Linked DNA regions of Rhinolophus ferrumequinum. The protein of the gene in region 1 interacts with the protein of each later gene in a pairwise test. Links are inferred from orthologs where the notes say so. Each region holds a gene or a part of one and is shown in the gene's direction. Other genes may lie near its edges. The genes, in order: NT5C2, MOB3B and NUDT18.

The links.
Region 2: the proteins of NT5C2 (region 1) and MOB3B interact in binary tests that used the Homo sapiens proteins (3 or more experiments, as listed by UniProt). The two-hybrid records come from large-scale screens. The link is inferred for Rhinolophus ferrumequinum from reciprocal best matches to the Homo sapiens genes NT5C2 and MOB3B.
Region 3: the proteins of NT5C2 (region 1) and NUDT18 interact in binary tests that used the Homo sapiens proteins (3 or more experiments, as listed by UniProt). The two-hybrid records come from large-scale screens. The link is inferred for Rhinolophus ferrumequinum from reciprocal best matches to the Homo sapiens genes NT5C2 and NUDT18.

Annotation. Positions count from the first base shown.
Region 1 is NC_046299.1:22,023,179-22,030,124, forward strand, and holds the start of NT5C2 (cytosolic purine 5'-nucleotidase), read left to right. Parts: upstream 1-3,926; coding exon 3,927-4,027; intron 4,028-6,946. UniProt on the Homo sapiens protein: Broad specificity cytosolic 5'-nucleotidase that catalyzes the dephosphorylation of 6-hydroxypurine nucleoside 5'-monophosphates.
Region 2 is NC_046295.1:13,774,359-13,781,606, forward strand, and holds the start of MOB3B (MOB kinase activator 3B), read left to right. Parts: upstream 1-4,219; 5' UTR 4,220-5,759; exon of another isoform or gene 5,760-5,772; intron 5,773-7,248. UniProt on the Homo sapiens protein: Modulates LATS1 expression in the Hippo signaling pathway which plays a pivotal role in organ size control and tumor suppression by restricting proliferation and promoting apoptosis.
Region 3 is NC_046301.1:44,313,684-44,320,992, forward strand, and holds the start of NUDT18 (8-oxo-dGDP phosphatase NUDT18), read left to right. Parts: upstream 1-4,235; 5' UTR 4,236-4,350; coding exon 4,351-4,608; intron 4,609-5,445; coding exon 5,446-5,659; intron 5,660-5,885; coding exon 5,886-6,481; 3' UTR 6,482-7,309. UniProt on the Homo sapiens protein: Mediates the hydrolysis of oxidized nucleoside diphosphate derivatives. Hydrolyzes 8-oxo-7,8-dihydroguanine (8-oxo-Gua)-containing deoxyribo- and ribonucleoside diphosphates to the monophosphates. Hydrolyzes 8-oxo-dGDP and 8-oxo-GDP with the same efficiencies.

The DNA of each region.
Region 1 (6,946 bases):
TTGTGTCTTTGAATCTAAAGTGAGTCTCTTGTAGATAGTGTATTGTTGGAATATCTTTTTAATCCTTTCTGTCAACCTCTGCCTTCTGATGGGAGAGTTTAAACCATTTACATTTAAAGTAATTACTGATAAGAAAGGAGTTATTTTTGCCATTTTGCTATTTGCTTTCTATATGCCATTTTTTTGATCTCTCATTTCCTCTATTACTGCTACCTTTTGTGTTTAGTTGATGTTTTTAGTGAACTGTAAGAATCTTATAATACTACTATTTTGTCCCTACTCATTTTTGGGCTAGTGTTGTCATACATTTTATTTCTACATACGTTATAAATCTCGCAATACATGGTTATTTTGTTTCAAAGTTATCTTTTTAAAAGATTTAATAGTAGGAAAAATATTTTATGTTTATCTATTTCTTTGTATTGATTGATTTCCATCTGGTATTATTTTCCTCTTGCTCGAATGACTTCCTTTAAAATTTCTTTCAGTCTACTGGTGATGAAGTCTCAGTTTTTGTATGTCTGAAAAAGTATTTTATCTTTATTCCTGAAAGGTATTTTTGCCAGGTAAAGAATTCTAGGTTGACACTTTTTTTCTTTTAGTATTTTAAAGATGTTTTTCCACTTTCCTCTAGCTTCACTGCTTCAGATGAGAAATCTGCTTTTTTCTTCTCTACGTTATAGATCTTTTCTAGCCTTTTTAAGTTGGAAATTCATATTTTATTTAATTTTTCTTGAGTATTTGAATACTTTTTTAGTAAGAATTTTCCTTACCCTGTGATTTTTTAATAAATTTATTGGGGTAACATTTGTTAATAACATTATATAAATTTCAGGTATACAGCTTTATAATATAACATCTGTACACTCCATTGTGTGTCTACCTGCTTGTTAATATTTTCTCTTTATCATTCTTTTTAAGGAATTTGATTTTGATGTGCCTTGGTATAATTTCCTTGTTTCTTGTGCTTGGGGTTCACTTAGTTTTCTTGGATTTGTGGATTTATCATTTTCATTAAATTTGAAAATTTCACCCACTGTTTCTTTCAAGTTTTTTCCATCTTCTCTTTCTTTTTTCCTTTGTGACTTCCAATTACATGTATATTAAGCTGCTGGAAACCATTGCACAGCTCATTGGTGCTCTGTTAATGTTTTTTTAGTCTTTTTAAAATTTTAGTTTGGTTAGCTTCTATTGCTATGTCTTCAGGTTCACTAATCTTTAATCTGCCGTTGATCCCATCCAGCGTATTTTTCTTGTCAGATGTTGTGGTTGTCATTTTTAGATGTTTGATTTGAGTCTTTTTTTTTAATCTTTCATGCTTGTACTTAACATTTTCAGTTCTGTAGTTTTGGGGACACATGAAATATATTCAATTATAAATTGTGTATTAGATGATGTATTAATTGAATTACATATTATATATTGAATTTTATTCAATTATAATAACATGCTTGAGTGTTAATTCTATCATCTGTGACATTTATGGATTTATTTCTCATTTTGGATCATATTTTCTGCTTCTTTGGATGCTGCTAATTTTTGATTGGATGCCAAACATAAATTTTACCTTCTTGGATGCTGGATATTTTTGTATTCCTATGAATATTCTTGAGCTTTGTTTTTTGACATGGTTAAATTACTTGGAAGCAGTTTGATCCTTTCAGGTTTTGCTTTTAAGCTTCGGTAGGCAGGACTAGAGCAGTTTTTAGTTTAGATGATATTGCCCTACTGCAGTCACAAAACCCTCCCAAGTGTTTTACCTAATACTATGTAAATGTTGAGGTTTTCCATTTTGGCTGTTTTGGGCAGGAACTATTCCCAGCCTGTGTGAGCTTCGGGGATTGTTCCTTTATACCTTTAGGCCGGTTCTTTTTCAGGCCTCAGGTGGTTTCCTCATCCATATGTGTGCTAATAGTATGTGAATAAGATTAGAGAGTTCACCCTGTGCAGACGTCCGTAATTTTTAAAAGTAAAAAGAGGTAGACTTTTGTGAATACTGTTTGAGATTTTAGAAAATTTGAATGTGCCTAAGAATGTGTAACAATAAATAAATGAATTTTATTTCCTACGCTTTATTGTATGTACTATAATTGCAGTAGAACTGATGTTGAAGTCCTTTAATAGCATTCTGATCTCTCCTAATTCATCATAGAATACAGATTTCATTTCTGAGTCTTATTTAAATTTATGTAAGATATAGTGCTGGTCCTCACCTCCACCAAAAAAAGAAAAGAAAAAGAAGATCATTGAAGTTCCGTTGTAATTCTCTATTTTTAAATTTTCTTTTTTTGTCCACAAAATAATCTTGATTTGCTATATGAATTTTTAAAAAATAAAACCCTCGTAGTATATCTAAATTGTAATAGTTCAGCAAATAACTTCTCTCAAGTTAATTTTATACTTTAATAAGATTTTAACTAGACTCTTTTGTAAGTACCAGTGCTTTTATTCTATAAAGTATTTGGAAATCTTGATTACTTAAAAATTATTGCAGACCTAAGTATTAGGTTGGTGCAAAAGTAATTGTGATTTAAAAGGTTAAAAACAGTTGCAAAAACCGCAGTTGCTTTGGCACCAACCTAATATATATCCAAAAGAATTGGAAACTGGTACATTGTATGTATAGGTTCATAGCAGCACTATTTATAATAGGCGAAAAGTGGAAATAATCTTAATGTCCATCAGCAGATAAATGGATAACAAATTGTGGTATATACATACAGAGGAATAGTTATTATCCAGGCATTAAAAGGAATGAAGTATGTGAGGCGTAGTACAACATAGATGGAACTTGAAAATATGCTAAGTGAAAGAAGCCAAATGCAAAAGGTTACGTATTGTATGATTCTGTTTACATTAAATTTCCCGAATAGATAAATCCATAGAGGCAGAACCTAGATTGGTGGTTGCCAGGGGCTGGGGATTGGGGATAATGGGGAGAACTTAATGGGTAAGGGGTTTTACTTTGTAGTGATGGAAATATTTTGAAACTAATAGAGGTGGTGGTTACATAACATTATGAATGTACTAAGTGCCACTGACTTATGCACTTTAAAATGATTAATTTGTGTATGTTAATTTTGCCTCTGTAAATTATTTAAAAGCTGCAAAGATGATTTATTTAAAAATTGACTTAATGTCATAAATGATGTTAACATTTTCAAAATTAGAAATAAGTTAGGTTGCAGATGTTTTCACATTGGTATTTTAATAAAATGTTAAATTTCTTAACTCTAAAAGGATATTTTTAATCCTTCTTTAAAACTATTTACAGATGAAACCTCAAAAATAGAAGTGAAACCTAGAACAATGCCTAGTGTTCAGGTACTCCAGGTAGACACTTAGCAGCTCGCCTCCTTTTCGATGTTTACTGTAACGAGATGAAGAGTTTTAGTTTATTCTAGTCCATAGTTTTTTATACCAGCTGAAAGGCTGAAAGATAATATTTTATATAAAAGTATAAAAGCATTATATATAGAAAGCAAACATTACTTACTTTTGTACCACTGTTCATTAAGGTTAATATGTTGATCAGAATTTAAAAATTGTTTACTTTACACATTTTGAAACGTTAACTGAAAATTATGTATTTCCATAAATCTGTGGTCTCAGTCTCTTTTCTAGAACCGGATTAAAGTTATTATTGGCAGTTATGCTTAATTATTTGGAAGAGATACACATGATCTTTCTGGGTAGAAGTTGTCATATGAAATTATTTTCCTAAAGTCACATAGTTTAGAAGTGTCAGTATATCTTCCATAAATTTATCGTATTCAGTACATTTAAATAGATAATTATATCAGGCAATTGGCAAGCTAGAGTTTTTCTAATTTTTAAAAACATCAGATATCAGCATACAGATACCAATATTCAGCTGCTAAATTACAGTACTGATTGTCTTTTCTAGAATTCAACGTACAATTAAAATGACAACCTCCTGGAGTGATCGGTTACAAAATGCAGCAGATATGCCTGCTAACATGGACAAGCATGCTCTGAAAAAGTATCGGCGAGAAGCCTATCATCGGTGAGTATTTTGTCTATTTAATCTTCAAAACAGCTCTGTAAAGTGAGTACGTATCATCTTCATTTTATAGATGATGAAATTAATGTACAGAGAAGTTAGGACAAATTACCTAGATCATATAGTTAGTTTATAGTTCAAACCCAGTCCAAAGTCCAGACTTTTAACCACGCATACATTATACTGCTGCTGACTTTTATTTAAAATTTCTCACTGCTGCTTATTAATAAAAGCCCTTAAGAGTAGAAAGTTTTCAGCTGCTGCAAAATTGCACCTTAATAAGAATGAAATTCTCAATTGACATTTACCACAAATTGATTATAATCTTTAAATAGATTTTTAAAATTGTATGTACTTGCTACTGTGTGTTAGATTGAATGTGGGTTACTCTGGGTATTAGCAACATTTTCTTATATTGATACAAGACTTCAAAATTTTCTCTAAATCATTTTTCTTTATTAAACATTCAAAATGTATTTTCAGTTTGCCATTTTTAATAGATTCAATTAAATGGCTGCTTCTACCTAAATCTTAAGTAGCTAAGATACTTAGAAGTAGGTACTGCATTTAGGAATCATTTGTTTTTAGAAGAAGTTAGAAGTTTATACTTCCTGTAAATTTATAGGATAGAAAGATCTGGCTCCTACTAGAACTATCTCTGCCTCCCATTCTAAGGAAAGTCAGGAATAAATAGAAGTGGTGGTGTGTTGGTAGTGCTAAAACGTTGCATGGGAACTCCAGGAAGTCTACAACTCATAATTATTCATTTGTTGTGGGACTAGAGGAAAGAGGAAATGTTACTTTTTTTTTTTTTTTTTTTTTTTTTTAAGATTTTATTGGGGAAGGGGAACAGGACTTTTTTTCCAAGTCAAGTTGTTGTCCTTTCAGTCTTAGTTGTGGAGGGCGCAGCTCAGCTCCAGGTCCAGTTGCCGTTACTAGTTGCAGGGGGCGCAGCCCACCATCCCCTGCAGGAGTCAAACCGGCAACCTTGTGGTTGAGAGGACGCGCTCCATCCAACTGAGCCAGCCCGGAGCTCAGCAGCAGCTCAGCTCAAGGTGCCACGTTCAATCTTAGTTGCAGGGGGCGCTGTCCACCATCCCTTGCGGGACTTGAGGAATTGAACTGACAACCTTGTGGTTGAGAGCCCACTGGCCCAATGTGGGAATCGAACCGGTAACCTTCGGAGTTAGGAGCATGGAGCTCTAACCGCCTGAGCCACGGGCCGGCCCGGGAATGTTACTTTTAAAATTTTTTAAATATTTCTGGAAAAATGTCTAAACTTGTTTATACAGATAAGTTAAAATAATTCTGACAAAAAAACAATTCTGATTCCATTCTTCTCTGTATAGAAAGCTAGGTCAGAATTAGGTAACATTTTGGTATTTTAGAAGAGTTAATATTTTGAAGAAAATAGTTACTTGATATTGAATGTTTTAAAAGTTAACTATTGTATTAATAGTTGGTTTTTAAAGTAGTCTGGTGACATTTGCCTGATGGTAGGTCACTCACTAGCTTTTTAAAAATTTACTACAATATTTATTAATGTTAACATTATGAAAAAAAAGTAATAATAGGGACAAACATTGTAAGTACTACTTGTGCTATATAATAATCTCTTGAAAGCTTATATCAAGAGATAGTTCAAGATGAAAAATTAAAAACCAACTTTCAAAAGCAAAAATCTTTACATTCAAATTAATTAACTCACTATATATATAAACTTTTATCACTTTCTGCATATATAAACTTTTATCACTTTTTATCACTTTCTGCTAACCTGTATCACATTCTTAGAAGGATGCAAATAGTGAACCCTTAACCTCCCGAAGAGTGCTAACTTTTGTACTCTGAGGGTTTAAAACATGGGTACTGCCCTTTCCAAATTCCAAATCTTTAATTCTGCTTTTTCTTTTTGCTTGTTATATTCATTGGAAACGTTCATAACTCCTATATTCTTAATTTGGTTTGGTCAAAGGGGTTTTATGTGTTCTTAGCATCCAAAACAATTTCAAGTCTTTGTTGAATGGGCTGAACAACAGCTTCATGCAGTGGAAACCATCCTTTTTCATCAGCTTAATCCAATGCATATTTATATTTCATATACTCTGGAAGGTCAAGAATGTGACCTAGATTAAACATGTGGGCTTACAACACACATCTCTTGGCAAAGTAGAAGCTCCAGTCCATCCCACTGTAAGCAATATACCCATTTACTTTGTTTTATAGCCTCCACAGTTTTCTGTTTTGATCACTTAGTGGCGCAAATCTACCAGGGAAAGAAAAGAAAGATATATTTATGGTAGTGCTATGCTTCAAGGTGCCAAACAATTTAATATATATTGAGTTTTCTACATAATTTTAATAATCAAGATCTACCTTGATCTATCTTCCTTGATTTAATAATCAAGGAAATGCACGCAACTGATTTTATCTACTTTAAAAATGTAAAAATCTAAGAGTCAGATACATATATTTATGATACATTGGACATAGGAACATTAATGAAGATGACAAAATACAAAATTATAATATCGTCTCTGAAATTAGTGCTAAGCAGTGAAAAAGAAGTTAACAATTGGCGTCAGAGTCAGAAGCGCTGAGTTCAGATTTTATGAAATTGTGATTGTGGGGAGGCCAATTTGCCTCTCTCTGGGTGGTGTTTCTTGATCTGTAAAGAGATGGGGTTAAATAAAGAAGATCTCTAAGGTTTCTTCCAACTTTAGAAACTTTGTTCAATAATTTTTTTTTGCTTTGAACTTAATAATTGTGAATTAGTAATTGCTTACATGGGAGCTTATGATCCACAACTGCATGCTAGAATCTTTAATCAACTGATCCACAAATGAAAACATTTACTGAACAAACTCACAGTCAACTGGCCCAGCGGGTCATAGTTTTAACCCCCATGACAATTCTCTGGTG
Region 2 (7,248 bases), on another chromosome or scaffold:
TTTTGAGTTACAGCTTCAGACATTACTTTGACAACCGCCTCAGGTAATTTTCCTCCATTAATAACTGTTAACAAAAATTATTAAATTTCCTTTGATCTCTAGCCTAGCATTTGGGATCCCAGCTATCTAACTGCACGCCTAGTCCTCATACCAGCTATATTAATCTTGATTCCCAGGACACATCTCGCTCTTTTCTACCTTCCTGTATCTTTACTCCTGTGGTTCTATCTGAAACAATCTTTCGAACTCCACCGATGTCCACCATCTTTCACTCCAGCTCAAATGCCACAGTCTCCCTGAAGCTCCCCGTAATCGATTTCATCCAAACTTAACCTTGCCCATATCTATGCTCCACAGCAATGTGTTGGCCTTTTCTACACTGCCTCCCATAGTCTTTTTTATATTATTGTTATTTGTGTATTTGTCATTCTTGTTAGATTATAAGCATCTTGAGGACAAAATCCAGGGTTGCCCACTGCCACATGCTAGTGGCAGGGGACGGTGAGGGATAGACCACCAGCTTCCATCACTCTGCCAAGTCTCAAACCTGCTTGCACAATGTATCAGGTGCATGACTGTGAGCAAGTTACTTCAACTTTCTAGTCTATGATTTTCTCACCTGTACCAGCCACAGAAAGATCTTGTGAGAATGCAATGAGATGTTCCCTGTAAAGTGCTTAGGAAGCACATTATAGGTACACAATAGATGTTCAGTATTTACAGTATCTATGGTGAAGTCTCTTCATTAATTAATTAATCAATAAATATTTATTGAGTGCTATATTAGTCTGCACAGGCTGTTATTAAAAAAAAACAAAACATAGACTGGGTGGCTTACTCAGTAACATTTACTTCTCACAGTTCTGGAGGCTGGGAAGTCTCAGGTCACCGTGGCTGTCGGTTTGGTTCCTTTTAAGGATTCTCTTCTTGGCTTGTAGACGGCCACCTTCTCGCTATGTCCCCACATGGAAGCAAAGACAGAGCTCTCTGTTTTCTTTTTTCCTTTTGTAAACCCCCTAATCTTATCATTGAGGCCCGCCCCCCAATCAGCCCATGTAACGCAAATCTCCTCCCCAAATGCCATCACATTGAGCGTTAGGGCTTCAGCACATGGATTTGGAGGAGGGGGACACACTCCGGGCCATAGCACGTGCCTGTACATTTATTGAGATAGTCTAGGGATAAAGAAATAAGCCAAACAGACAAAAATCCCTGTCTCATGGAATTTATATTCTAGCGGAAAGAGTAAGGGAGTGTGTGGTAGACAGAATAATGCCCCCCCCAAAGATGTCCGTGTCTTATCCCCATGACCTGTGAATGTTATGTGGCAAAGGGGGATTAGGTTGTCGGTGGAATTTAAGGGTGCTAATCAGCTAACCTTAACATAGGGAGATAATCCGGGATTATTCTGATGGCCTCAATATAATCACAAGGGCCCTTATTAGTACAAAGGGAAGCAGAAAGGCCAGAGTGATGCAATATGAGAAAGACTCAACCTGGGTGTTGCTGGTTTTGAAGATGGAGAAAGGGGACCACAAACTAAGGAATGCAGGTGGCCTCTAGACGCTGATAAAAACAAGGAAACTGATTCTCTTCTATAGACTTCAAAAGGAATTCAATCCTGGGGACACCTTGATTTTAGCCCAATGAGACCTTTATTTTATTTTATTTTATTTTATTGGGGAATATTGGGGAACAGTGTTTTTCTCCAGAGCCCATCAGCTCCAAGTCATTGTCCTTCAATCTAGTTGTGGAGGGCGCAGCTCAGCTTCAAGTCCAGTTGCTGTTTTCAATCTTAGTTACAGGGGGCGCAGCCCACCATCCCAGGTGGGAATCAAACCGGAACCTTGTTGTGAGCCCGCTCTAACCAACTGAGCCATCCGGCCACCCAAGACCTGAGACTTTTAACCTTCAGAACTATAAAATAATAAATTTGAATTGTTTTAAGCCACTAAGTTTGTGGTAATGTGTTACAGCAGCCATGGAAAGGCGGTATATATATCGGATATCAGATGGCAGTACATTCTATGGAGAAAATTGGAGCAGGGAATGTGGATAGGGAGTGTTGGAAGGGGGTGGTGATTGCACAGGGTGCAACTCTATTTTAAATAGAGTTGAAAAGGGAGGCCTCTGGTGACTTTTGAGCAAAGAACTGAAGGAGGTGAGCTAGAAAGTTATGAAGTATCTGAGGAAAGAGTCTTCCTGGCAGAGGACACAAAGAGTATGAAAGCCCAGCGGTAGGAGCTTAACTGGCATTTCTGGAAACCACAGAGGGCAGTGTGGATGCCGTGGAATTCGTGATGACGAAAGTAGTAGGAGACAAGGTCGGAGATAAAAGAGGTGCTGTTTGTGTTGGTTTTACTCTGAGTAAAACAGGAAGCCCAAGGAGGATTTTGAGTAGCCGAGTGATATAATGTGGCATACGTTTCAACGGAATTGCCCTGGCTACCGTCTTGAGACTAGAACATACAGAGAGCGGGGGCGGGGAAACAGAGGGACCAGTTAGGAGGCTATTGCAGTAACCCGGGCTGCAGGAATTTGTGGCTTGGACCAGGATGCAACTGTGGAGGTGGTGGAAAGAGGTCTGCTCTTGGATATCTTTTGAAGGCAAAAACAAGATTTGCTGATAGATAAGAGGTGGAGTAGAAAAGGAGAAAAGTAAAACATGATTCCATGATTTGGGGCCTTAAATAACTAAAAGGTTGGAGAGGGGGAAGACAGCAGCTGGCACATGTCTGAGGTGGGAGATCAGGTCAGTTTGGGTGAACTTGGGTACCTGAATCCTCCCCTCCTCCCATTCTGTCCCTTCAGATTGTTTTCCCACAGAAGCAAAGAAGCATCCACATAAGGAGTAATAGCCAGTGGGGAACAGTATCTATTCAATCCATGATGAAGTCAGTTTGCCATACAATACCCTTGCAGGGCTCTGATAAAAGCTGCATTTCAGCATGAGATGTAGCCCAGGATGCTACAGGTAGAATGTTTGTGTCCTCCCAACATTTGTTTGTTGAATCCTAACTCCCAGGGTGGTGGTATTCAGAGGTCATGAGGGTAGAGCCCTTATAAATGGGATTAGGGCTTGTATAAATGAGCTGAGAAAGCTTCCTTGCCCCCTTCTGCTATGTGAGAACACAGCAAAAAGAGGTCTATGAGGAAATGAGCCCTCGCCAAACACTGAATCTGCTGGTGCCTTGATCTTGGACTTCTCAGCCTCCAGAACTGTGAGAAATAAATTTCTGTTTATAAGCCACTCAATCTGTGGTGTTTTGTTATAGTAGTCTGCGCAGGCTATGACACAGGAGAACCACGGAGAGCTTGATTCTTGAATGCTGGCTCTTCCTAGCAGATTCTGAAAGTTGAGCCATCCTCCTCAGCCACCAGTCACAGGGAGAAAAGCTGGGTGAGAGCTGGGGTAGCTTTAATCTGGTACCCCACTGATTGACTGGTGAAAGTTATACCGGACACACTGAAATCCCTCCCAATCACCAGATTTACCATTCCTCCCCAGGGAAGGAGCCCCTACAGGCATGGCAGTGTGTTGAAAGTCCTCTTTCCCTACAGGCAAGGCTGAAACCGAGTAGAGAGGCTGTGACAGTTCCACTAACATTTTTTGATTAGAATCAACTGCCCTTTTCACTCTGTGCAAGCCCTGCTCGTCTGCACCTTGCGGGATGTGCCCTATCTCCAAGACAGAAGTTACATCTCAATGCTCTGCCTTAGTTGCTGAGACAAGAAACCTTATTTGTTTCCCTCTCTTCTTGACAGGACCAAAAAGATCATGTAATGAGAATTCTTGGGCAGGCAACAAACAGCCTCCTCACAGTTAGGGACCAGTAACGGAGAGAGACGTACTATTAAGCTAGAGCGATTTAGAGACACTTCCTTTGCAAGGTGGCACCTATGTTTTGTTTTAGTATTTTATGGTTTTATTTTACATATATATGTATATACACACACACACACACACACATATATATATACATATATAATTAAATATTTAAACCATCTGAAATTTATGTAAGTTTAAGGTTATATTTAATTTTTTCCAGAATACTATACAATTGTTTCAACACCATTTGTTAAATCATTTCTTTTTCCCCATTGCTAAATTCTTGTATGTATTTGCATCAACTTCCCATGTATTATCTCCTTTCATCTAAAATGGTCTTGTAAGATAAGTATTGTTACAGATGAAGCTACCTGGGACGGAGAAAACTTGTATCTCAGAATTAGGAAAACACAACAGCAATAGAATATGAATATGAAGGCTTGAAGAATATTGAAGACCTGGCAAATGCATTTGTAGTAGATAAAAGCTTCATAGATAAATTTTATTCTAGTTATTATAGCTCTAGCCAAAAGAAATAATACGTGCAGTAAATGCCTTGTTAAAAATAAAGAGAGACCCTGCCATCCTAATTGTTCTGGATGATGAAGAGCTGTCTGGCTGCCACGAGGCCAAAAGATCACAAGAAGCTTTAAAAGCAGCGACTGGGGCTTGAGGCAGTTTGGAAATGCGATTGCATTACTCAGTGATGAGCAGAGAGACATTGCTTCGTGGCTGCATTTTTGTATTTGTTTTTTTCCCCTCATGTTTGAATTTCATATTCACAATCTCCAATACGTTTGTGTTGCCTAAGTGATACAGAATTAAATCGAATCATTTACTCCAGGGTTGATAGCATTAGACCATGACTATTTATTGAATAGTTCTTGCAATATCAGAAATACCTTGATATTGCGAAAGATATATATGGTTTTAGAGGTTCTCTTCTACTAGCTGTGGAAACCACTTTTGGGGGAGCGTGTTTTCTCCATATATCCTAATTTCTACTTAATATACTTCCATACCTCTTTAAAATGTGTAAGAAGAATTATAAAACGAAACGCTTAGTTATGTGGTACTCCTCAATCAATATACATTAAGATGCAATCAGATGGGGGAATAAAAAGATATGGAAGACTCGTTCTTTTCTTCAGGAAGCTTAATATTTAATAACTTCTACTGTGAACTACGGACACTTTCTATGTTTAGTTTACCCCTTACAACCACCCTGCAAGGTAGATATTGTTCTGTCAAATTTAAGAGGCAAATACTGAGGCGTATAGACCAAGAACACACAAGTAGAAAGTGGCAGGCTGTAGATTGGGCCTCAAAGTCCGTGCTCATTTCATTACTCCTAGCTCATTATGATAAACCTGGCAGAATCTCAAAGTTATTTTCTATTGATTAATGCTCCTCCTCCATCAGGCGGTCCATGGCATTTTTCAACGTCAGAAAATCTTGGAGAAGATACGGGATTTCCCCCTCTCTAGGTCCCTTAGCTGCTTGTGGACCCAGAACGCACCCTTTCTGATCCGATATCTTCCTTGCCGCCCTGGCCAGAGGGTCAAGGTCTTTTCCTTATGGTTGAGAGCCCCAGTAGACTGTCCATTCCACACCTTTTTCCCAAGGAAAGATGACCCAAAGGCGACCTGACTTCTCTTCTCCACGGAACTGCCATTCCGTAAGCGGCCGCCAGGAGGTCCCGGCTCTGCACCCCCGCGCGGCTGCCGCGCGTTGAGTGCTTGTGGGGGCTACTTTGGAGCCACCGCGGCTGCAGCTGGAGCCCCGCGCTCGCTCGCCCGCGCGCTCCTTGGGCCCGGAGCCCCTCGCGTGGATCCATAAGAGTCGCCCCTCCTACCCGAGCTCACCCTCTTCCTCTCGCGCTCGCTGCAGCTGACCCGGCGCAGGAAGCCGACAGGGCCCCAGGCTGAAGGTAAAACCCCACGGTGAGTGAGATCCCGCTCCAAGCGAGGGAGGTGGCGCAGCCTGGCAGCTGCTCGCTCCGGGTCGTGCCCAGGCGGGCAGAGGTGTTGGACGCACCTGGGGGCAGATGCACAGAGGGACTGGGGTGGCGGATCCCGCTTCCCCGCCCGCCCTCCACGTGCTTCCGGGGCTGGAATCGGCTTCAGACCCTTGCCCGCGGCTTGGCTTCTGGCCGGCTCACCGCGCAGCCTTCCCGGGCAGGAACCAGAGTCGGGTCTCCCCCGCCCCCCCCCCCCACCGGCCGCCTCCCGGCTGCCGGGCCCTGATTTTAAAACACATATCAACAAAATCCGTCTTCCTTCGGGGCACAAGTCTGTCCCCGAACCCAGCCCGAATCGCAGATGACTGCAGGGTGCGTGTTGGGCTGTGGGTGGCGGGAAAACAAACTTTTACAAAAGTGCGCCTGGGCAGGGGGATAACGTTTAGGGCGTATTGATCTTGAAGGAGAAAGTTCGGTTTGGGATTGTGAAGTCCCCTCCGCTACGTCGGCCAAGTCGCCCCCTGAACTGTCGATGCTTCGTGGAGGGATAGGGTGTGTAAAGGACGCACAAATCCTGCTGAACCCCGGGCCAACAACTGTCAAACATCCCAGCCCCTCCCTTCCCTCTACTGAGGAAGATGGTGCAAACCCTTTAACTTTCCTTTGATTGCTCCTCCCTGCCTTTGGACCCCTCTCGTAAGGGTAAAGGGCTGACCCCTGGCGCCTGGCGCCTGGCAATTAAGTATCAGATACCCCAAACTCCCCAGGGTCCTTCTTCACCCACCTTCCTGACCCCCTCCCTGATGCCCTCCCCGTAGAGACCACGCGACAGAGCCTGTTAAGATCCAGGCGAATAGCTTTTTGTTTCTTCGCGTTTCCCCTATTGTGTGCCTTTCCAACATCTGGCGGGGCTCAGAGAGAGAAGGAAGCCCCTAGCGTCTTCCTCCCCAGCCCCCCACGCCAGCCACCGGACCAGCTCCGGCCCGGGATCTCGACCCCAGCGAGGCCGCCGCACCCGGGCCTTGCGGTTAGAGGGCGGAGGGAATGTTGTTTCTTCCCCGCCTCCTCGGCTGCCTGTGGCCCAGGGCGCATTTCTCAGATCATATGCCACACGCACCGCAAAAGGCGCAGATCCGAAAGGGGCGCTAATTTCGAGAGAGTGGAAGCATGGTTCCACCCTATTCCAGGGTGTCTGTCGGTGGGTTCCAGGGGACTTCAGTCTCCGCTGTGGCTGGGCCGCTGCCAGACAGCGGGATGGGATCAGGGCACTTCTGGCAGGCAGAAAGCCGAGGTTCTGAGGTCTGCGAGTTTCCAAGGGCTGAATGGCAGGCGAGTCGCCTTAAAGACAATGATGACGGAAATAACCTAGGAAGCCTCAAACCTTTGGCTAAAATAATGGTGAAGTGGCTCCCTCCAGAATGAACGAGGAGTTCTGACTTCGCCTAGGGCTCCAAGTTTA
Region 3 (7,309 bases), on another chromosome or scaffold:
ACATTCAGAAAATAAGACAAAGTCCCCTCTAAGCCCTCCACCACTCACCCCCCAACCCAACCACGGATAGTATTTTGGTGTATTTCCTTCTAGTATTTTCTCCACGGGTCTGTTTTACACATAGTTGAATTGGTGTGCTTTGTACTTGGTTTCTTTCTTTTAACACTATTGTGATCATTTTCTATGTCGATACCTAACCTTCATTTTAAACAGCTGCTTACATTCCCCAAAGTGGCTGTGCCATGATTTACATAATCGTCCCTCATTTAAAAAAAAAAAAAAGTTGTTTCTTCATTGTTTGCAAAGCTGGGTTTTCATTTTTTCATGGGATAGAAAAAAAATTAAGGAACTGCCACACTTTATGGTGTCAGTTTTCATTTAACTGATCTCATTTCATCCCTTACCACAATTTTTATGTAGATATTATTTATTTCCATTATATAGAAGAGGAAACAGGCTAGGGATAAGGGAGTTACCCAAGGTCACACTGCAATTTAGTGGCAGAATTGGGATTTGAACGAAGTGTCCTGACTCCGGCTGCCTCATTTACATTATAGTCTTAGCACTCAATGGCCTTTGCAGATGGGCTTACTGTCGTCTCTGTCCTCCTTCCAACATAAGCACGTTAGAGCTCATCATGTTCCAAGTAGCAATGAGTGACCCATGTCTACCTACACTTCACCTTACATAGCTGTGTCCTGATGTCACCCCAGGACCCCAAACACGGAGTCTTTCCTGTGGGAAGATGGGGATGGCCCTGTCACTAGGCCTGTTTCTTCCCCCACAGACCTCTCTGTCACCTCCCCTTCCGTGGTAGGTCACGGCACTCTCCAAGGACATAGTGGGTCTGACTCCTTGCAAACACAGGTGGGCCAAATGTCCCAGGACTGGACCAGGGATGAAGCCAGTCCAGGTGGGGACCGGTCCAGAGACTCAGCGTGAAGCATTCAGTGGCCCTCTTCCCCAAGGTGGCTCAGCGGGCTCCCCTCTCAGTCTAGCCCTGCCCTTTTGGCCTCTGCTGCTCCCAGCAACCTCCTCCAGCCCCTCTCACTGGCCCAGTCGGCACAGAGGCACAGCCCTCAAAGCTGGAAATGACCTCAGGTGTGTAGACCAAATGCCAAGTTTTTCTTATAAAGTACACTATTTTAGATTTTTAATTTTGAAACGACTGTAGATTTACAGTTGAGTCACAAAGATAGGACAGTTTCCAGTTACTCTTCATCCAGCTTCCTCTCATGTTGACACGGTACATAATCAAAACTAAGAAATTAATTTCGATACAACACTATTAACTAAGCAATAGACTTTATTGGGATTTGTCACGCAGGGTCTCAGCTCCTGCTCCCCGCACAAGAACGCGGGATATGGTGAGGCCAAAAAGGAACAACGGAGCCATAGATAGGGGCGTCATACCACTATATTCTCGCTGGCAGCTGGGTTGGAGGCACAGGAAGCAGGAGCCACACGATCCGCAACCTGCCGTCTGCTTCTCTGTCAACCAACCAATCAACCAGCTTAGCCACGGCAGTTATATCAGTGGCCAATGGCTAACCGGTAACAGCTGATGGCCATCTGATCACAGCTGATGGCCGTCTACTATCTGAGCCAGCACCTTTCCACATGAGGTCAAGAGCAGGAAACTGCTCTCTGGGACTCAGTCCCCACAGAATTCCACCAGTTTTCCACTAATGTCTGTTCTGTTTCAGGATGCACCTGAGCCTGCATCATACAGATGGCCTAGACGATAGATGTGGCTCCCCCAAGGTCATTCAGCAAGCCAGTGGCAGAATGCAGGCTGAAGCTTCCTCCTCCCTATACCTGGGGCTACTGTCCTCCTTGCCCTTCCCACTTTGACAAGGGACAGGGCTGGCTGCTCTGTGAATGAATCTAGCGTCACAGACACCCTTGCCCCACCCTTCCCGCCCATCCCTGTCCCTGTTTCCGAGGTTGCCTCCATCACCTTCCTGTGCACGTGCTTACAAGCACACTCAGGTCTACATGCCCTGAGTTGGCTGGCTCAGCCTTCGCTCCTGTGGGTCCTGTACTGTGTGACACTCTTGCCCACCACCCCCACCAGTCAGTGCTCTTCCCTCTCTGGGAATAGAGGGCGCAGAGCAAACTGGATGGAGACCTTTCTTTGTTTCTGGTTCTGTCGGTTTCTATCTCAGCACCCCCTCCCTGCCTCCGCTTTTCCCATTCTGTCTCAGGGCCTCTCCTGCCTCAGTCTAATGTGTGCTCTCCTTCTCCCAAAGCCTTGAAAAAGTGTATTTCCTGTTGTCTCCCTCCGCTCTCCGGAAGGGCTGGTACACCCCCTCGAGGGCCTTGCCTATGCCGCCCTTCACAGTTTACAAGCGACTTTCACGTTGCCTCATGTGCTTCTCACCACAAGGTGATTAGGTCCACTTCACAGGAGTGCTTTTCCCAGTGATAATGGGGGGAGTGGAGCCAGGGTTTGTTGCAGTCTTTGCTGTTCCAGGCAGTCAGGCCGTCTGGTGTTTATCTTAGGCTGCCTCTGAGGCTTTCAGAGCCCTGCCCAGACATGACCTCATTCTCTCTCAAATCATCCCCGGGAGGCAAAAAGGAGTCTGAGACCCATACTGTTCCCACTTCACAGATGGGAAAACCGGAGGATAAACACACACACACACACACACACACACACACACCAACTACGTTGACAAGTTGCTCTGCAGTCCTGGAGTCCCGACTCTCGGTCCCGTCATTCAGTTGTTTGGGAGGTGAGATGTTTAGGGCTGGAGGGCAGCAGTATTCACCAAGTGCCTCAAAAGATTGCAGGCCCACTGGGGATCCCCCACAGACTAATATAGGGCCCTACCTCCAGGGAATTCACAGGCACTTCAGTTTGTGAGAAGGGCCTACAGAGGCCATCTGGTGCAGCTGGAATTCCTTAGTAAAAGCTAGTTCCGAGGTGGCCTGGGGGCACATTTCATGAATGTGGGCCTTTGTGTGGTAGTAGGAGAGCCCAGCAAGGGGGTTGGTGGGCTGCCTGGTGATGGTGACCTATGCTGGATTGCCCACGGAGCTCCTCCCATGGCGTCTCACCTTCCCAACAGTGTGAAGGAACAGTTGTTGTGAGCCTATTCTACAGATGAGGAAACTGAGGCCCACACCTTTTCCAGGGACACAGAGCCAGCCAGTAAGCAGAGGCCTGGTATCTGGCTCCAAGTCCAATGCTTCGTCTGATCCAACAAGCCACTGTCCCCTCAGGTGCACTAAGCCAGCAGGAGGAAAAGGGAAGACCTAACTGAGGATGAGGAGCCCCGACTTGGCTGGCTTCACAGTTTCACTCCAGCTGGCCCTGCCGTCCTGTCCTGAGAGGAGGTTAAAGGAACCTCTGAGGAGGAAAGGTCAAGCTGGGAGAGAAGCAGGAGCTAGCCAACACCCACACCCTACTCTCAATGGGGCTGCCTGAGCCAGCTGGGTGGGGGGGCAACAAAGGTGAAGGAGCACGGCTCAGTCTGCACGGAGAGGGCCCTGCAACTATGTGGGAAATGGCGTGGGCAGTGGGTCGGGACACTGGTGAGGGCTCTGCCTGCCTATCCCCGGCCCTCTCTCTGCCCCAGCTCCCCTCCTCCCGTCATCAGGCGCACCTTGGCCATCCCAGTTCTGCTCTCTCCCTGCTCTGAGCACCGTCACACCTCCGGCCCAAACCAATCATTTAGCACTTGTCTTATAACACTGAGTTGACTGTTTTTTTAAACATGTCTATGTCTACGTTCCCAACTAGATCAGAATCTCCTTCAAGGCAAGAGCTCTCTTCCTCCCTTCCCCCCACTACGGTGACATTCAGTACATTTTTAGTGAAAACGGGGGTTATTGGGGGGAAGTGATCGTTTCGGGCAAAGCAGTGGTATGTTTATGACCAAAGCTGGACAGTGGGTCCCGGCCTCGCCCCGGGCCTCCGTGACGTTATCGGTGTTGTTGTGATGCTACCGTCGCTGGCCACTGTGGCTCTCCGCAGCCTGCAGGCAGGATGACGTACCCGTTCGAAACCGGTGCGGACTTGCGCGCGATGGAGAAATCAGCAAGGCTGGCGGCTAGAGGTGCCGGGAGAGGGCGAAGAGGAAGGAACCCTTAGAGAAGCCGAAGCGGGCGGGGCCGCACGACGCGGTGACCAGCGCGAGCCAGCCAATCCGGGCAGGCCGCGGGGACGCGCAGCCTATCAGTGGCTGGGACTTGGCCGGCGCTTCCTCGTTCGCGAGCACGCCCGGCGCGAGTCGGCGGGGGAGGGGACGAGGGCCAGGGTGACGCACCACCGGCTGCACCGCCTTGCACCCCACCCGACTCGGCGGGTCTGCGGGGCACGGCCGCCGCCTCCCAAGGGACTGGATGGCCTCGGAAGACCTGGCGGTGGAGCTGGCAGCGGTGCTGGGGGGCCGGGGACTGTGTGTGCAGAGTTGTGACTCGGAGCCGGCCGAGGAGCCGCCGGCGCCCGTGCGGCTGCGGAGGAACGTCTGCTACGTGGTGCTGGCCGTGTGCCTCAACGAGCAGGTGAGCGTCCGCCCGCCGGCTCTCCGCCCGGGTCCCGGAGCGCGCAGCCAGCCCCGTGGGGACAGACGACCTACCGGCAGCAGCCACCGCTTCTTGGTGGGTGGCGCGTTCCAGTTTTGCAAAGCACTTTCACTTCACACTGACACCTGAGCCTTGTGCGGCCCAGCCCTACGATTGTCCGACGAACAGAGGAGGAAACCGAGGCCAGGAGCCTTTGTCTCATCCCACTAGGCCTCAGTTCCTTGAGGGGGGATTGTTTTATTCCTCTTCCTTTCCCCAGAATTTAGTATAGCGTCCGCCGCCGCGGAGTGGACTCTCATAAAGATCTGTCCAGTGCTGCAGAGACCTCCCCTGAATTCCACGGACAGTAATGGCACAACTTGCGCTTACGCTCAGACCCACTCACCCCTGTGTGATGCTCTTTTTGGTGCTGATCCTTGTACAAATTGCTGTAACAACAGTTAGAAGGGACCGGGACCATAGGTAGGAGTTGTATAGTGTGTGGGGTGGGGGCATGTTTCAACCGCAGACTTCAGTGTGAGGACGGGCCACAAGCAGTTTTTAAACCATGAGGGGAGGTGAGAGAGACAGTGACATATGCAGACAGTGCAGGACACATGGCACCTCCCCTTGTGGGGCCTGATTCCCTGTCCTTGAAGCAACTCCCGGGAATCTTAGCCGCTTTCTGAAATGGAAGTCCAAATGCAAAAGGATGAATTGCAGAGAGGGGCATCTGCAACTGGCAGCCACAGAAGAGCCAGTCCCCAGGAGAGCTCAAGAGGTTGAAGGTGTCCACCAGTAAGGGGGTACCGGGCGACTGTGTTTGAGATTTCTGTCCCCAAGGCACAGGAAGGCTTCCGGCTGTGTTCCTCCTTTGGAACACAGGCTTCCAGCCTGGCTGTGTGGGGGTGAGGATCCTCTCTCTCCCCTCAGGATGAGGTGCTACTGATCCAGGAGGCCAAGAAAGAATGCCACGGGTCATGGTACCTACCCGCGGGGAGGATGGAGCCCAGGGAGACCATCGTGGAGGCTTTACAGCGGGAGATGAAGGAGGAGGCCGGGCTGCACTGTGAGCCTCTGACATTGCTGTCTGTGGAGGAGAGGGGCCCCTCCTGGATCCGCTTCGTGTTCCTCGCTCGCCCAACAGGTACAGCCCACCTGGTGGCACTGTGGGCATGGGGCAATCGACACCTTTCCCCCAGCTTGACCTCCCGTGAGATGAGCCCCTTTTGTGGCTGGTACAAGCCTGGCATCTCCATATTTCAGTCTGAGGGTCAGAGCTAGAATGCCTGGGTGGCTATCAACTCTGCCAGGCCCGGCACTTCTCTCAACACGGACCCTTTCCCCCACCCTGTCCCCCACCGCTCCCCCAGGTGGAGTTCTCAAGACTTCCAAGGAGGCAGATGCGGAGTCCCTGCAGGCTGGCTGGTACCCACGAACCTCCCTGCCCACTCCGCTGCGAGCCCTTGACATTCTGCCCCTGGTGGAGCTGGCCGCCCAGTACTGCCGGCAGGCCAGGCACCCTCTTGTTCTGCCCCAAGAGCTTCCCTGCACTGTGGTCTGCCAGCGGCTTGTGGCCACCTTTACCAGTGTCCAGACAGTGTGGGTGTTGGTGGGCAAAGGGGGGGTACCTCACTTGCCCATCTCGGCCTGTGGCTTTACCCCTGTGGAGCAGAGGGGTGGACTCAAGATGGCCATCCTGCGGCTCTTGCAGGAGTGTCTGACCCTGCACCACTTGACAGTGGAGACCAAGGGGTTGCTTGGACTGCAGCACCTGGGCAAAGACCATACAGATGGCATCTGCCTCAATGTTCTGGTGACAGTGGCTTTTCGGAACCCAGGTATCCAAAATGAGCCCCCGAAGGTTCAGGGTGAGAACTTCTTTTGGTGGAAAGTGATGGAGGAAGACCTACAAAGCCAGCTCTTACAGAGGCTTCAGGAATCATCTGTCGTCCCCCTCAATAGATAGGAAGGTGCCATCAGTGAGCAAGGAGGTGGGTGCCTGTGCTCCCTCCACCGCGGTTTTGCCTCCTTCTGAGGAAGGCAGGTTAGCAATCAGGGATCTTTTCACATTGGGAGCAGGGCAGTTCTCCTGCTCAGGGGGACTTCCATCGCCCCTCGCTGTGGAGCAGGTCCCTCCATTGTACCAAAAGGGACAGTGCCTTTTACCAAGCAAGGAGTCCAGAGCTCAAGAACCCAGTTGCCCAGAGGTATGAGGGCACCGCTCCCTAAGGGGATGCAAGAACTTTCTGAACCTGAGATGGCATCTTATCATTTTCCACGCCTACTCCTCCTTTGGTAAAGGCCTAAATTCAGATTCTCAGGCACTTAGAACATGGGGTGCTGTGGGAGGTCACTCCAAGGAAATGGTCCCCTTGCTGAATAAATAGGTGTTGCTTACTTTACCTTCCCACCTAAATGTCTCTGTGGGGAGGAAGTGAGCAGGAAGGGGGGACTGCCCTCAGAGGAGAAGTTCCTCCCCTTGTACCACTGACAGCCACCCACGCCATCTTAGACAGCAAGCTGACGCTGTAGGGGCCAGTCTGCCGGGTAAGGGGTGACTGAAGCAGGCAGGTTTCCTGCTGTCTGTGTCCTCCACGGCTTGTGTTGGGCCCACTGGGGCCCTCTTCCTCTTGCCTGCCACGGTAGGAAGTGACCGTATCCCCATCAAGGTTTGAGCAGTGAGAACACCAGGGAAGCTCCAGGTGGGCAAGGAGCTGTGAGAGCTTCCGTCGCCTGGGTTTCCTTCTCTTGGAGCTCTCTGACCCCTTCTGTGCCACTCTGCCAGGCTCCTGCC